Linked DNA regions of Pelodiscus sinensis. Each later gene encodes a partner of the first gene's protein in a complex. Links are inferred from orthologs where the notes say so. Each region holds a gene or a part of one and is shown in the gene's direction. Other genes may lie near its edges.

Evidence for each region. The genes of interacting proteins can lie anywhere in the genome.
Region 2: the proteins of TNNT2 (region 1) and TNNC1 are in contact, whole or in part, in a crystal structure (PDB 1J1D), measured with the Homo sapiens proteins. The link is inferred for Pelodiscus sinensis from reciprocal best matches to the Homo sapiens genes TNNT2 and TNNC1. Residues at the interface, in NP_001263274.1 of Homo sapiens: Gln266, Tyr269, Asn272, Val273, Asn276, Arg277, Asp280; in NP_003271.1 of Homo sapiens: Asp99, Phe101, Arg102, Asp105, Ala108, Asp109, Gly110, Tyr111, Arg147, Tyr150, Asp151.

What each region holds. Positions count from the first base shown.
Region 1 is NC_134737.1:13,382,053-13,389,234, reverse strand, and holds the start of TNNT2 (troponin T, cardiac muscle), read left to right. Parts: upstream 1-4,176; 5' UTR 4,177-4,182; coding exon 4,183-4,220; intron 4,221-6,354; coding exon 6,355-6,365; intron 6,366-6,490; coding exon 6,491-6,508; intron 6,509-7,182. UniProt on the Homo sapiens protein: Troponin T is the tropomyosin-binding subunit of troponin, the thin filament regulatory complex which confers calcium-sensitivity to striated muscle actomyosin ATPase activity.
Region 2 is NC_134721.1:41,398,132-41,405,906, forward strand, and holds the start of TNNC1 (troponin C, slow skeletal and cardiac muscles), read left to right. Parts: upstream 1-4,763; 5' UTR 4,764-4,890; coding exon 4,891-4,914; intron 4,915-7,775. UniProt on the Homo sapiens protein: Troponin is the central regulatory protein of striated muscle contraction. Tn consists of three components: Tn-I which is the inhibitor of actomyosin ATPase, Tn-T which contains the binding site for tropomyosin and Tn-C.

The sequences.
Region 1 (7,182 bases):
AATAGCTTCTTTCAGCCTGGCAGGCAAGACTACACAACACGCAGGCCCTGTTTAAGTCCATTCTGCTGATATTCATAAAATGCAATATTTACCTGCTGTAAATATGGGTGGAAACTCACATGGCAGCACTTTAAATGAGCAATGACAGTCCAGGAATTTAATCAACAGAAGACCATTATATTGATGTGTGGTGGTAGAGTGGGTTCCCAGTGGAGGCTACGTTAAAAGGATCCCATGCCTAGGGTGTGTGTTGAGTAGCCCTGTGTTAGAGCATCTAAAAATTAAAACAGTGAATTGTTTCCCCGGGATTCAGTTTGGAAAGTTGCACATAAGGGGGTAGTGACACACAGCAAAGTCCAAGAAACCCTCAGCTAAAGAAAATAACGTGATCGCATCTGACTAAACATTCCCTTTTCTACCCACATCTGTTATTCCAAGATGTAGTCCTTCCTTGGGTATGGCTGTCTCTAGAATAAATACTCCATGCTTGGATTCCTGGCTTAATTCATGTTGCCCAGGCTCTGCTCTGGTCATACAAAGACTGGACCAGGAAGGTCACTTTCCAATTCAGAAGTCCCTACTCGGTTTCCATTGGCTCTCCTGGCCTCTGGCCAACTCGCTTCCTTGGCATTCCTTGGGGACTCTCTAGGACCCACGGTCTATGGTTTCAGCCCTTACAGGCAAGACAATTAGAGGTAGGTCCTAAGAGTAAACCCCGTGAAGAGACTTGACTGCATGGCTGGCATCTCCAGAAAAGGGTCTTACCTCTCCCAGTCATCACACCAGGGAATTATGAGCCTAAAGGCCTTGGAGGATTGTGGCCTTGGGGTAGGTCAACACTGCAAAGTCACACCCAGAGCAGTGAGATTCAGAGCCAGGGGCAACTGAGAGCTGGAGTTCAGGCTGTGAAACCCAACGAGGGGAAGACGGTTTTGGAGCCAGGGTCTGAGCACAAAAGTCCACTTGGCTGTTTTTAGCCAGGCAGATGGAGCTAACTGAGCCTGGTTCTGAGTTGCTGCTGCAGGTTTTCCTTTGGGCTCCAGCCTTGCCCCGTGTCACACAGCAGGTGAGCCGCAGGGCCAGGAACAGAACCCAGCAGCCTGGACTCCCACCCCCCATGGATACCTGCTTGCTGGGCTGTCCGTGCATAGACAGCGCTGCCCACAGAGACGCCCGTCTCCCAGCATTTTCTCTGCCTGGCTGAAGTGGTTTTAAGGTCACAGGATGTTTGAATTCCTCGTGAATCTCGCTGGGCCCCAGAGCAGGGATTGGGAAGGATTCAGCATAAGGAACCCATCAGAGGAACTAACGTGGTGTGATGATGTGGCGGGGTTCCCCCTGATCCTGCAACCCCGTAGCAGCAAGAATAGACTCCATCAGCCAGTAGAATAGAGAGGGTTTATTGCTGCTCTGGGATACAGCACATCTGTGCTGTGTTTCAGGAATTAGGGCCAGGATGCCTCAGACCCCTTGGATTAGGGGGTCCATTGTCAGCCCTAGACCCTCAGCTAAAGCTGTTCCCTTTGGCTACGTCTAGACTGGCATGATTTTCCGGAAATGCTTTTAATGGAAAAGTTTTCTGTTAAAAGCATTTGCAGAAAAGAGCGTCTAGATTGGCAGGACGCTTTTCTGCAAAAGCGTCCGTGGCCAATCTAGACGCGCTTTTCCGCAATAAAGCCCCGATCATCGGGGCTTTTTTGCGGAAAACAAATCTGAGCTGTCTACACTGGCCCTTTTGCGCAAAAGTTTTGCACGAAAGGGACTTTTGCCCGAACGGGAGCAGCATAGTATTTCCGCAAAAAGCACTGATTTCTTACAGTAGGAAGTCAGTGCTTTTCCGGAAATTCAAGCGGCCAGTGTAGACAGCTGGCAAGTTTTTCTGGAAAAGCGGCTGATTTTCCGGAAAAACTGGCCAGTCTAGACACAGCCACAGTGTTTCCCAGCCAGCAACTGCCCATTCCCCTGAAACCTGGTGTTGGTCTCTGCCTCCTTCCCTGCTTGGGGTCTTTGCCTATGTGGCTTAGGCAGCTGTCCTGCTGGGCAGTGCTACAGATACCGTCCAGTAGGGGTCACCCCCAGCTCAAACACAGCCACCAGTGGATGACCATAGTGTATGACCTAGTATATGGCTTGCCTACTACATCACATGTGGTTCAAGGCAGGAGTTACCATGCTAGCGTCTCTGACTGCCTCAGTGGCCGGGGACAGTGGGGGACTTTTCCGAGGAGAAGCTGGTCCCAGGGTGTACATTCAATGAGGCAGAAGGAAACATGCTGGCTACGTGTTAGAAGCCAGGCCTCAGTGCTGAGCACTGGGGAGTGAAATGGGCTGTTTCCTTGGGTTTATCCTCCTCCCCTGAACTTCCCATGCAGCATAGCTCTGTCTTAGATCATCTCTGCCCGGAGAGGTTGCTACGTACCCTGAGCTGGGCGGGGCGCTCGGAGTTATCAGTACTGGCGGAGGATGCTTCCTATTTAAGGAGAACTATGTTGCTGAGTGGTGGGGGAGGCAGAATTAGCTCAGGCACATTCAGGCTCCGTGCTGACGTGGCTCCTTTCCCCTCTCTTTGTAAGATAATTATAGATGCTCCTACCTGTCTGTGACAAGCACAGACCCCCTCGGGAACGGGCTGTTCCCACCCAGCTGTTTTACCCACCCCACTCACTTGCTGCTGCAGCTGCGCGGAATTCACAAACGCAGCTGGTGGAATAAGGTTTGGTCACCCCCAAAAAATGAGCCCAGGAAAGGGTTTCCATCGGAAGTAGCATCCCCTGTGACCAATGTTCCCTCCAATTCTTTTCGATTCACGTGCACAATAAAGTTTGTTACATGCACTCAGACATGTGCGAATGTGCACCACCAGGAGAAACCCAAACCCAGCTGTTGGCGTCTGCTAGCCAGCTGGGCAGCACTGGAATCTCTCCTGAACAGCTGCACAAGCTTACAGGGAGTGCTGGTTTTTAATGGGGTAACCGAGTGTTTCAGCCCTGGGTGGCAGCCCCCCCGCCTAAACGCAGCCCGTGGCTCCGAAGTCTCTTTCTAGGGCTTCCTGTCAGGATGCAGGTGGCCATTTTGTTTTGGCCTTGGTTGTCTTGGCCCTCACCCTGCTGTGGCGTTCAAAGCTGCCCCAAGCCCAGCTAAACTGGCCCCAGAAGGATTCCCTAGGTACTCAAGGGACTTCTGAGCCAATCGGCTGCTGGCACCCAGCTCGGAAGGGGTGGCTGGGAGAACCCAGAGGTCCCTAGCAGTTGGGGCCCTTGGATTGCGGAAGCAAAATACGTGGCATTGCTGTGCTGCAGCCAGGCCTGCCCACGGGTGGGAGCCAAGGGGGTAGTTGCCCTGGGCCCGGCGATGGAACAAGCATCTGCATCAGCAGCTGGAGCTGGAGGCCTCTTTGAATTGCTGCCGGAGCGCGGCTCCACGCGGCTGGGAGCTAGGAGTGGGGGGCCAGCCATGGTCTGGGCAGCAGTAAGGGCTGAACGCCTGCCTGTGGGGGCGCAGAGTGGGGGTCCCTACACGTCTTGCCCTGGGGCCCATGTGGCTGTCGGCCCTGCCTGTAGCCCCCGTCTCTCGGGGCGAGTGGAAAAGCAAACAGATCCCAAATGACAAACGAGTTTCAGTAAAACGCTGGGCAGATAAGGGGTTTATTCCCACCCGTACATGACCTGCACTGGGGCCGGCCGCCGCTTCCCTGCCACTGCGCCTTTCTAAGGCCCCCCCTCAGCATCGCAGCCCAGCACCGGGACGGGACTGGAGGAGGAGACGGCTCCCTCTTCGTCCCCCGCACGCTGCTCGGAGCGCAGGCGGAGGCGGGAGTGTGACGCACAGCCTAAGGGAATCCACATGGAAATGCCCCTGTACAAATGCGTATCGCTCAGGCCTGCCAAGGCCTCGCACATCAACTGAATTTTCGGACATGGCGACTGACTGTTTTGGGGGGTGCCTTGATTTCTGGATGCCATCTTGGCCTGATTGTCCGATGTGAGAGTACGGCTCCTAGGGAGCACTCCGCCCCCCTGAAAAGCAGTTTGACTATGGACCATAGGGCTGCCCGAAGCTCATCCCGCATGGCCACGGACATCCAGTACCCGCAGGGCTCAGGATGAAGGACTGACTGGGCTGCTGTGGGGGTCACTGTCGCTTTCAACGCTCTCCTTTTTCCTCCCTGCCAGATCACTGAAAATGTCCGACGTGGAAGAAATCATCGAAGAATATGAAGAGTAAGTGCTGGGCTTTAAAACAGTCCCTCCCACGGCCAGAGGGACAGCAAGTGCAGCAAGTCCTCTAGAGCAGTAGTTTTCAAATTGACACAAGAACATAACCACGGCCAGCCCAAGGGTCCATCCCGCTCAGTGTCCTGTCTGTCGACAGTGGCCAATGCCAGATTCCCTAGAGGGAACCGAACAGGGATTCATCAAGTGATCCCTCCCCTTGTCGCCCATTGCCAGCCCCTGGCAAACAGAGGCGAGGGACGCCATCGCTGCTCAGCCCGGCCAACAGCCTTTGCCGGACTGATCCTCCAGGAATGTATCTAGCTCTTTTTTGAATTTCTTTTCTCATGGCTCAGTTGAAGAAAATTGTTGATGTCGCAACCCTACATAATATGACTAGGGTGTGGGCTCCGGGGTGGGGCTGAGGACAAGCTTTGAGGTGTGGGAGGGGGCTCCGGCTTTGGGGGGGATCAGAGCTGGGGCAGGAGGTGCTTACCTTGAGCGACTGCCAGTCAGTGGTGTGGTGCGGGAGAGGGAAGGGGGCCTAAAGCAGTTTTTTGCCTCTCCTGGCACTTCAGACTATGCTGCACCCCAGAAGCAGCCGCAGCAGGTTTCCAGCCAGTGGAAATGCGGAGCTAGTGCTCAGGGCAGGGGCAGAGCATGGAGCTCTGTGCACTCCCCCCACCTAGGAGCCAGGCCTGTTGCCGGCTGCTTCTGGGGTGCAGCACTGTCTGCGGTGCCAGGACAGGCAGGGAGCTGCCTCAGCACCCCCGCTGCTCAGCTGATCCCCTGCAGCCATGAGACCCAATGCCGGACATTCTGCCACCCAGCCCTGGGTTGCGACCCGTCATTTGAAAACCATTGCGCTTATTCGTTCTCATTATTACCCAGTTCTGCCTGGAGCTGTAGATCTCAGAATTGCAGGCCATGGTGAAATCTTCCTCCCTCCCATAAATGGAACCCACAATGAGGTGTTTGTTTCTCTTTACCCATCTTCTTGTGGGTGTGACCCAAGCCCGGCAGATCTGAGCACCTCAGACTCTTGGAAAGCGGGGACTTGGATCCAAACAGAAACCTTCCAGCCTGGGCCCGTCTCTGCCGTCATGTAGAGGGGAACTACGTGCATCCTGTAGAGACATGCATAATACTAAGTAGTACAAATTAGCCATGGGGGGGCTCTCTGAACCATCCCCAGGAAAGCTGCATTGGAAATAGGCTTTTTTATCCTGCAAATGTTGTTAGTCCAAAATGTTTCTCAGCTCTAAATTGGGATGGAAACATAAGCTTAGTTTCCATAAAATTACTGGCTACGTCTAGACTGGCATGATTTTCCGCAAATGCTTTTAACGGAAAAGTTTTCTGTTAAAAGCATTTTCGGAACAGAGCGTCTAGATTGGCACGGACGCTTTTCCACAAAAGCACTTTTGCGCAAAAGCATCCGTGGCCAATCTAGACGCGCTTTTGCGCAAAAGAGCCCCGATCGCCATTTTCGCAATCAGGGCTTTTTTGCGCAAAACAAATCTGAGCTGTCTACCCTGGCCCTTTTGAGCAAAAGCTTTGCGCAAAAGGACTTTTGCCCAAACGGGAGCAGCATAGTATTTCCACAAGAAGCACTGATTTCAGACAGTAGGAAGCCAGTGTTCTTGCAGAAATTCAAGCGGCCAGTGTAGACAGCTGGCAAGTGTTTCCTCAAAAGCAGCTGCTTTTGCAGAAAAACTTGCCAGTCTAGACACAGCCACTGAGTTTAAAAAAACAAAAACCCTAAAAAGTCCTGTCAATCAAGATGTCTGGATTTTGAACCATTTTGTTTGGATTTTGGCCTTCTTTTCAGTGTGACTCTTCTCTCCACTCCCAGCTAACTAGCTTAAATTTGGTAGAAATTCAAATGAATTTTGAACCAGAACTACTTCTGTAGTGATTGTTCATAACAAAGCACTTGGATGGTTACAAAACATTTTCCCAACTTTTTTTTTCCACGTTGTGAGTCTTGTTGAAACTGATTCTGTTTTGAGACTGGTTTGTTTTGACAAATCTGCATTTTTCCATGGAAAATTCATGTCAAAAAATTCCGTCCGGTGCTCCCCTGCCCAGGGAGCAATCATTGGGAGAAACAAATCTAATAGTTTCTCATTCTTCTTTGCAGGGAACAGGAAGGTAAGAGAACGAGAACCCTCTTTCTGCAGATCAGGACAGACTGAAGCTATAAAACGATCAATACAACTTCAATAACCTGCTCTCTTTCTCCCCCTCCTTCCCCTTTCTCTTCCCCCTTCCTGCAGAGGAGTGTGTGGAAGAAGGTAGGTTTTTGTTCCCTGTTGTATGGAAGGGGAAGGAGGGCAAAGGGTAGTTACTACTGGCTTATGTAAATACTTTGCTTCTTTTTATTTTGCTTGGCATGGTTTGGCATGGCTGCAGGTTGGTAGAACTGTACAAAACGGTTCTGGGGATGTTCCTTCCAATATGTAAACAAATTTTGCTTCAGCTGATGTTCAGTTAAGGTGAAACTCTCCCCGGTCCAGGGGACTGATGCAAGCCACAGGGCTAATGGGCAATGTGAGAGGCACCTAGGCCTTATTCCAGTCCTCTGCACGGGGGTGAATTTCACCCGAAGGGTTTATTTGCCCTTCACTTTATAAGAGATGAGGATGATTGGAGACAGGCCTCCACTAAAGCCTCCGATCTGAGCCCCGGAGCGGATTCAGGATCGTAACCATTTGCAGTGTGGGGCTGTTGGGAATAACCACGTGGAAGCTGGAATCTCAGCTGACGTGTGCGACTGACGGGTCAGCACGAGCCAGCTGCTTTCTCCGAGTGTTGAATGGAAGCTGAAGACTTACGCAGCTGTGCAGCCGTGTGTGTGTGTGTGTGAGTGCGTGAGACTGTTCGTGTGTCTATGTATATCTGCCTACCGGGTGTCATAGGGGAAAGGCCTTATTAGTCTCTGGCTTCATTAACGCCTGGGCTACCCCTG
Region 2 (7,775 bases), on another chromosome or scaffold:
GCTGATTTTCTGGAAAAACTTGCCAGCTGTCTACACTGGCCGCTTGAATTTCCACAAAAGCACTGACTTCCTACTGTAAGAAATCAGTGCTTCTTGCGGAAATACTATGCTGCTCCCGTTCGGGCAAAAGTCCCTTTTGCGCAAAGGTTTTGCGCAAAAGGGCCAGTGTAGACAGCTCAGATTTGTTTTCCGCAAAAAAGCCCCAATTGCAAAAATGGCCATCGGGGCTTTTTTGCGGAAAAGCGCGTCTAGATTGGCACGGACGCTTTTCTGCAAAAAGTGCTTTTGCGGAAAAGCGTCCGTGCCAATCTAGACGCTTTGTTCCGAAATTGCTTTTAACGGAAACCTTTTCCGTTCAAAGCATTTCCGGAAAATCATGCCAATCTAGACGCAGCCCTCGAGGCAGGGACAGTGAGGGGAGAAAGAGTCTCCCTCCAGCTGCCCAGAAGATGGAGGAGGAAAGAGAACTTCTCTGCCTGAAGCAGCCAAAAGGCAGCTTCCCCATCACAGCTGTCAAGAGGCAGGGAGGGGAGAGAGTTCAATATTTATCATATCCACTTGCTTAAGACCATATGAAAGAGTGTGGCACATGGCAGGGCCTCAGCATATGTGGGACTTCCACTGACCCCTTGTGGTCTGTCAAGGTGGGAACTTAGTACCAGGCTTCTAACCAGGTCATGCCCCTGGTCCTTGCGCCAGGACAGGGAAGTTACTTGTCCTTCTGGCTAATAGATTTTGGCCTCTATTATTATTTCAGTCCATTTTACAAGCCTTTCCCTTCAGCAAGTTTAATCAGCCCAGATATTTTAAGAGGAACATACTATTTTTATCTCTGTATAATTCCACATAAACAGTGACTACACTTTTCTTCTGTTGAGAATTGTCAGACACGTGGATGAACATAATTTGTCGGGGAAAAGTCAACATGGTGGGAAATCATACCTCACTAATGTACTAGAATTATTTGAGGGGTCAACAAGCATGTGGACAATGGAAATAGTGTGCTTTGATTTCCAGAAAGCTTTTGACAAGGTCCCTCACCAAAGGCTCTTAAGTAAAGTAAGCTGTCCTGGGATAAGAGGGAAGGTCCTCTCATGGATTGAGAACTGGTTAAAAGATAGGAAACAAAGGGTAGGAATAAAAGGTCAGTTTTCAGAATGTAGAGCGGTAAGTAGGGGTCCATCCTGTGACCAATCCTATTCAACACATTCATAAACGACCTGGAGAAAAGGGTAAATAGTGACATGGCAAAATTTGCAGATGAAACAAAAGTCTGCAAGATAGTAAGTCCAAAGCAGACTGTGAAGAGCTTCAAAAGGATCTGAGAAAACTAGATGACTGGGGAACAGAATGGCAAATGAATTTTAATGTTGATAAATGCAAAGTAATGCACGTTGGAAAAAATAATCCCCACTATGTGTACAAAATGATGGGGACTAAATTAGCTATTGCCATTCAAGAAAGAGATCTTGGATAGCTCTCTGGAAATATCCACTCAATGTGCAGTAGCAGTCCAAAAAAAAAAAGTATACAGAATGTCCGGAATCATTAAAAAAGGGATAGAGAATAAGACAGAGAATATCTTATTGCCTTTATATAAATCAATGGTATGGCCACATCTTGAATTCTAAGTGCAGAAGTGGTTGCCTCAACTCAAAAACGGTACCTGGGCATTAGGAAAAGTTCAGAAAAGGGCAACAAAAATAATTAATGGGTTTGGAACACATATTTTATGAGGATAGATTAACAAGAGTAGGACTTTTCAGAATAGACTAAGGGGGGATATGATAGAGATCCATAAAACCATGATTGGCATGCAGAAAGTAAATAAGGAAAAGTGATTTACTTGTTCCCATAACACAAGAACTAGGGGTCATCAGATGAAATTATTAGGCAGCTGGTTTAAAACAACAACATGAAGTATTTCCTCATAGAACACAGTCAACTTGTGGAACTCCTTGCCAGAGGATGTTGTAAAGACCAAGACTTAACAGAGTTCAAAAGAGAACTAGATAAATCCATGGAGGTTAGCTCCATCCATGGGTTTTTAGCCAGGATGGGTAGCAATGGAGTCCCTAGCCTCTATTTATCAGAAGCTGGGAATGGGTGACGGGATAGATCACTTGATGATTCCCCGTTCTGTTCATTCCTTTGGGGGCATCCAGCATTGGCCATTGTCAGAAGACAGGATTCGAGGCAAGATGGCCCTTCAGTCGGACCCAGTATGGCCGTTCTTATGAGACAAATACTAGTAACAAGTGAACAGGGATTTTGTTCTCAAGAGGACAGGCATAGTGTTGATTATAGCAAGGGTGGGTGAGCAGAACTTCCTTTCTGTCTTCTCAAAACCACATCGACTCAGATGAGTTACAGCTTGCTAAGCATTGTGCCTCCTAATTAAATTGCTGTTTCACTTCTCTGAGGGCTTGATCAAAGGCCAAAACCTTCCCAGGGCTTTGGATTAGGTACTACAAATGCTATGAGGCGTCCCACAGGTTTCACTGATTAAACAGGATTTTATATCCCTAATGCCAATTAATGCTAATTATAGAATGCATTACAAATGTACAAAATGCTTTGCACTAAATTTACCCCCCCCCCAAAGGTTATTTTTTTGCAAACTATTGTTAGCATTCACCAAAAGTTCCTTTATTGGTTAAATTTTCAGTGGTATTTTTGGTAATTTTTTTGGTATGAAATGTTTTCAGTTACTGGAAACTATCTTGTCTTGCTGAAAACCAGGTTATCAGTAAATGAAAAATACTCATTTGCAGTAAATATCACATTATTTTTGAGGGAAAAAAAAGCAGAAAACTGGTTCACCAAAACAGAAAACAAAAAATTTGAAAACAGTTCACAAAATCATTTTCCCACTTTTTGACCAGACCCAGGATGGACACCTGTCCAAAGGGAACTGGAAAAAGATCAGCTGACTCATTTCACACCTTCTGTATCATCTTCAGCTTCATTTTCAAGAGGTGCAGAGAGCTCCAAACTGGCAATTAATGTGCATCTCTGGAAATCAGACCATTAATGACTATTGGAACATGAGCTTTACACCATGTTACTGGTCCTTGGAGCTATCTGCTCCCCTACAGAACATCCCTTTCCTCAACACAGGAGAGACAGCCATTGCTTTTGATATATAGGCTAACTTGTAAAACAGTCCAAAAAATACACTGGCATCCCATTTTGCTGACTTTTTTGCTACTTTTTCTTGCTGTCTGCATTTCATTTGGACACAAGAGGGAGCTCTGGATTCCTGAAGAAAAACGTCCTCCCCACAGATTCATTTGTAGATTAAGATCCTCGCCAATGTGCCAAACATTTTTCATGTATTTATTTATACAAATAGTGCAATTAATAATAATAAGCTTATTCCTGCTGAGTCAGAGTCTGCTCTCAGCTGTACTGGGTTAAATTCAGGGGAAATCCATCACACTAGCGTTCTGGTCACACTTTAAAGACTAACAAAATATGTAGATGGTATCATGAGCTTTTGTGGGCACAGATGACAGGAGTGTAGTCACGAGCATCAACAGGGTAACTTAGAATTTACAATACAATAAAATCATAATGGTCCTTAACAGCCTTTTCTTTGACATCTCAAAGTAGTTTACAAAGGTGGCAAGGCATTAAATATCCTCATTCAGCAAAGAAACTGAGGCACTAAGAGGTTAAGTGACTTACCCAAGGTCACCCAGGGAGTTAGTGGCAGAGTTCATAGTCCCATTGTATTATGTCTCTGATACCTGTGCAGTGATTCTGATCCAAACTATTCCAGAATTGGGTGGATTTGGATCCGGGGTTTGGGTCTAGACCAGTGATGGGCAATAGAAGGTGGTGGTTTGCCAGGTTAGCTCCAGGAGGGCCACTGCGCTGTATTTACCTGCACCTCCACAGGTACCCGCAATTGCAGCTCTCGTTGGACATGACTTCCCGCAGTTTCCATTGGCCGGGAACGTGGATCTGCAGCCAACAGGAGCTGTGATCACCCGTACCTTCAGCAGCGCAGGTAAATATAGTGGTGGCAGCCTGCCAGGGGTATCTCTGGCAAACTGGATCTGGCTTACGGGTCAGTATTTTCCCCAGGCCCATATGCGGGGGGCGGGGTGTGTAAGAAGGGTGCGAACACCCCTCCACACAGTCCTTTATGGTCCGCCACAGGCCGATTCCAGCCGACCTACGGAAGGCAGGGGCGGCACTTTGCCTCAGCCTCCTTCCCCCATGCTCCAGCCAGCTGGGGAATGCTGGGGCTGATTCCCCCCTTTCTCACACAGGAGTGAGGATGGGGGCAGGGCTGGGCCATAGGGGTTGGGGCTGGCCCACGGGGAGGGGCGGAGGGTGACAGCCACCAGCCCCTCCCGCAGCTTACCCTCCCCCGGAAATCCCTGCATATGGGCCTGTGCCCATCGCTGGTCTAGCATCTTATAAAGAAAGGGCCTAGCTACCCAAACATTCCCAATACTGTATTTAGTTCCAGGATACCCAGCTGTTCTCACTGGCTTCACAGGGAGGTTTGCCAGCCAATTCCAGAGGATCAGACCTGCAGTCTGACGCGAATACTTGCCAGTGTTTACTTGGCTGCTTTAATCCCACTTACTCCGAGAGCTGGATTGGGCCCTTGGAATGCCAGCTGCGGGCCTTGCATAGTGTCCCGTCCTTCCCCTCCCCCCAGGGGTGAGGAATTCCCACTTGGAGTGGGCATCTTTGATAGACATACAATAGGTTTCTGATGTGGTGAGCAGCAGCCCCTGAGTGACACATTTAGGGGCTGACACCTTGCTATATTAGCAGGGATAGAAGGAGGGGACAGCTAACAGAGACTTGAAGTTTGTCTCTGTACTGTTTGCCTTCTCTGCCCAGCTCCTGATCAGCAATTAGCTAACCATGGATGATATTTACAAGGCAGCAGTAAGTAATCTCCTTAAGCTTACCTTGATCTGTGGGTACCTTTGTTGTATTAGAAAGACGTTTCATAGCGTTTTTGCTGCTCTCCGAAAGCTGCCCTAAGGCACGGCAATGAAGATCTATGAGCCCTTAATGGAACAATGAAATGCACTTAGGAATGGTAGCTGAAGTAACGCACCTTCTAGTTCAGAACATAGATAGAACTTTTCATGCAATGGCAATTCTAAATACGACTGTTCTTCTTGTAAGCAGATTCTTCTAAAAATAAACAGCTCAATTATTCGTATCCAGGCTTTCCCTGATTCTGTACTTTGAGAGATGGCGTGTAAGTGTACTTTTTAGTATATTTTGAAAAATCTACTGACGTATTGGGTATGGCTACTGCTTTATCCAGAACTTGACAGAGCAATGGTTTCAATGGGGAAGAGAATTTGCAGAAGCTGAAACCGCAGCATTTTTATGTTCACGTATTACAATTCTGCCATTTCCAAGTTTTTTCCCCAGGTGAATGTTTTTCTGCAAAATGTATTTGATAAAGACTTAGGAAGCAAGTGATCTGATTTGCAATTTCTGTTTCCTTGTTCTTAATATCTACACGGCAAAAAATTATAATGTGACTCATGCTGGTTGTGCTTTCTAAAGCAGTTTTGCCTTGAATTATTGCATATCAAGTGTCCTGTATAAGCCCAAACCATTTTGTCTTCCTCCCAATGAAGGTGCAGCATTAGCTTGTACCTTGAACCAGCAGAAGAACATAAGAGTGACATTTTTCTGGAATCTGTATTGCATGAATCCCTTTACATTGAATTTTTGGTTACCATGTTCTGTACCTTATGTTGGTGGTTACGGGGTTATATATGGTGTTGTAGATAGTTAACAAAAGCACAAAGATACATCAGATGTGGATATTGCTTTCAACATTTCAAGATGTCCTAAAGGAAGAGGGATAGTTGACACATGGCAACAAAACCAGCTGTCTTTCATATTAGACTAACCTCAGTATTTAAAACCTGCATTGAGCTGGGATTCCATTCTGCAGTTCTCTTAGGTGCAGTGAGCCAAAAGCCCAAGTCTTCAAAAACAATGACACCAAAAAAGTGATCTCTAGAAGGAAACAACTTTTGTTTCTCTGCAATTGGATGTTTAATTAAACTTATGTTCCAAAATGTTTAGAGGCATCACCCACATTGTTATGAAGCAAGTTTAAAGCATTTTGAATGCCAGCAATGCTAACAATTAGCCAAATGGATCTGTCAGGCAGGCAGCTGGAATGCATTCTCTAGCACAAAGAAAGAATTAGAGTCAAGAATTAGATAGTTAGAGGAAGGTTTCCCATGGACAATTTTCCGCCTGTTTCGTACCTCTCAACCTGCTGAACTCCATGAAGGCCTAAGATGCAGCAGACCTAATTAATCCCTAATCTAACACCATGGATTTCAATGACTTTAGACTAGGGATGAGTTTAGCTCAAAAAAGAATCACAAATACAAAAAATTCCATTCCTAATAACCAACAAACTTCTTACTCCAAGTTAGAAGACTCCAGGAAGTCCAGTAGAGATTTTGCTGTGCCATTGTTTCCCCCCTGGGGCACATTCAGATACTATGTTGATGAAACAAAATACAGGACTATGTAGCACTTTAAAGACTAACAAGATGGTTTATTAGGTGATGAGCTTTCGTGGGCCAGACCCACTTCCTCAGATCGATATGATCTGATGAATATGTTGATGAGATTGAGTAAAAAACTCTAACATATATAACTGACAAGGGATTCCTGTTGTGAGTACATTCACACAACGGCATTTGCACTGTAATTATTTCACCAAGGCAAAATAATTGGGATGGGGCAGACATGTGGGGCAGACACCTTCTAAAGTGCAGTATATGGTACAGGATATTTCCTTGGACCATTCCATTAAAAAATCCTAAATATATGTACTGCAACAAATATTAAACCAGAAGAACACTAGAGAGTAACTACAGCACGGCCAAGCTGATTCATCCTCACCAGCACAATTTCAGATGGAAGCAGTGAATAAAGAATAAAGCCAAAAGAGGAATAACCCTGGCACTGCTTATGTATCCTGGCAGCATTTTCAGCATTTACGCACGGAGGCAGTAATGAAAGACGTCAACACCAAAACAAGAGGATGTAGAAAATAAAAGAAAAAGGCCACAAATAGACAGCGGAGTCTTGGGCATGATCGTACGCCATTTTAATTTCATCCCATGGCTTATGTTGTTATTACCAGAGCCTCGCGATGAATTTATCTTGCTACCATGATTGATGACCCATTGGTACAGTACATTCTTATACCTATACATTTATGCACAGGAAGGGAGGCACAAGTTAGACAGATGTAGTTTGATGCAAAGGAATTGGCCCTTTGTGGTTTGTGCAAGTTGGCGGCACATTGGAATAAAACATTGTCTTCCTTCCTTTCAATTTTTCGAAATGCACCAACAGAGCCCAATGGCTTTTCATCTTGCCTGCTCATGTCTAGATAAGGTTATATCAATGCAGAGCTATTTTGGTAACACTTTCAGACTCCAGTGAACCAGGCTAAGAACAGTGCCAAGGACAAGTGTCCAGATAAAAGGGCCCAAGGATAAATACCAATGCCATTCAGTTCCTGGGAACAATCAGAAGGTTTATCTTTATCACCAGCACCTCAATCATTGAGGCTTATAAATAGCTGACATGCCAAAAGAATTGAGTTACATGGAAGGCACGAAAGTGGCAAGAGGTGTTTATTTACCGGGTATAGCTCAGACCTTCGCAGCCCCCAACTATCCTATTTTACTGCCAAAACAATAAAAGAGCAGTCTGCAGCTGCCTGCCTCCCATCATGGGTGGCTGGA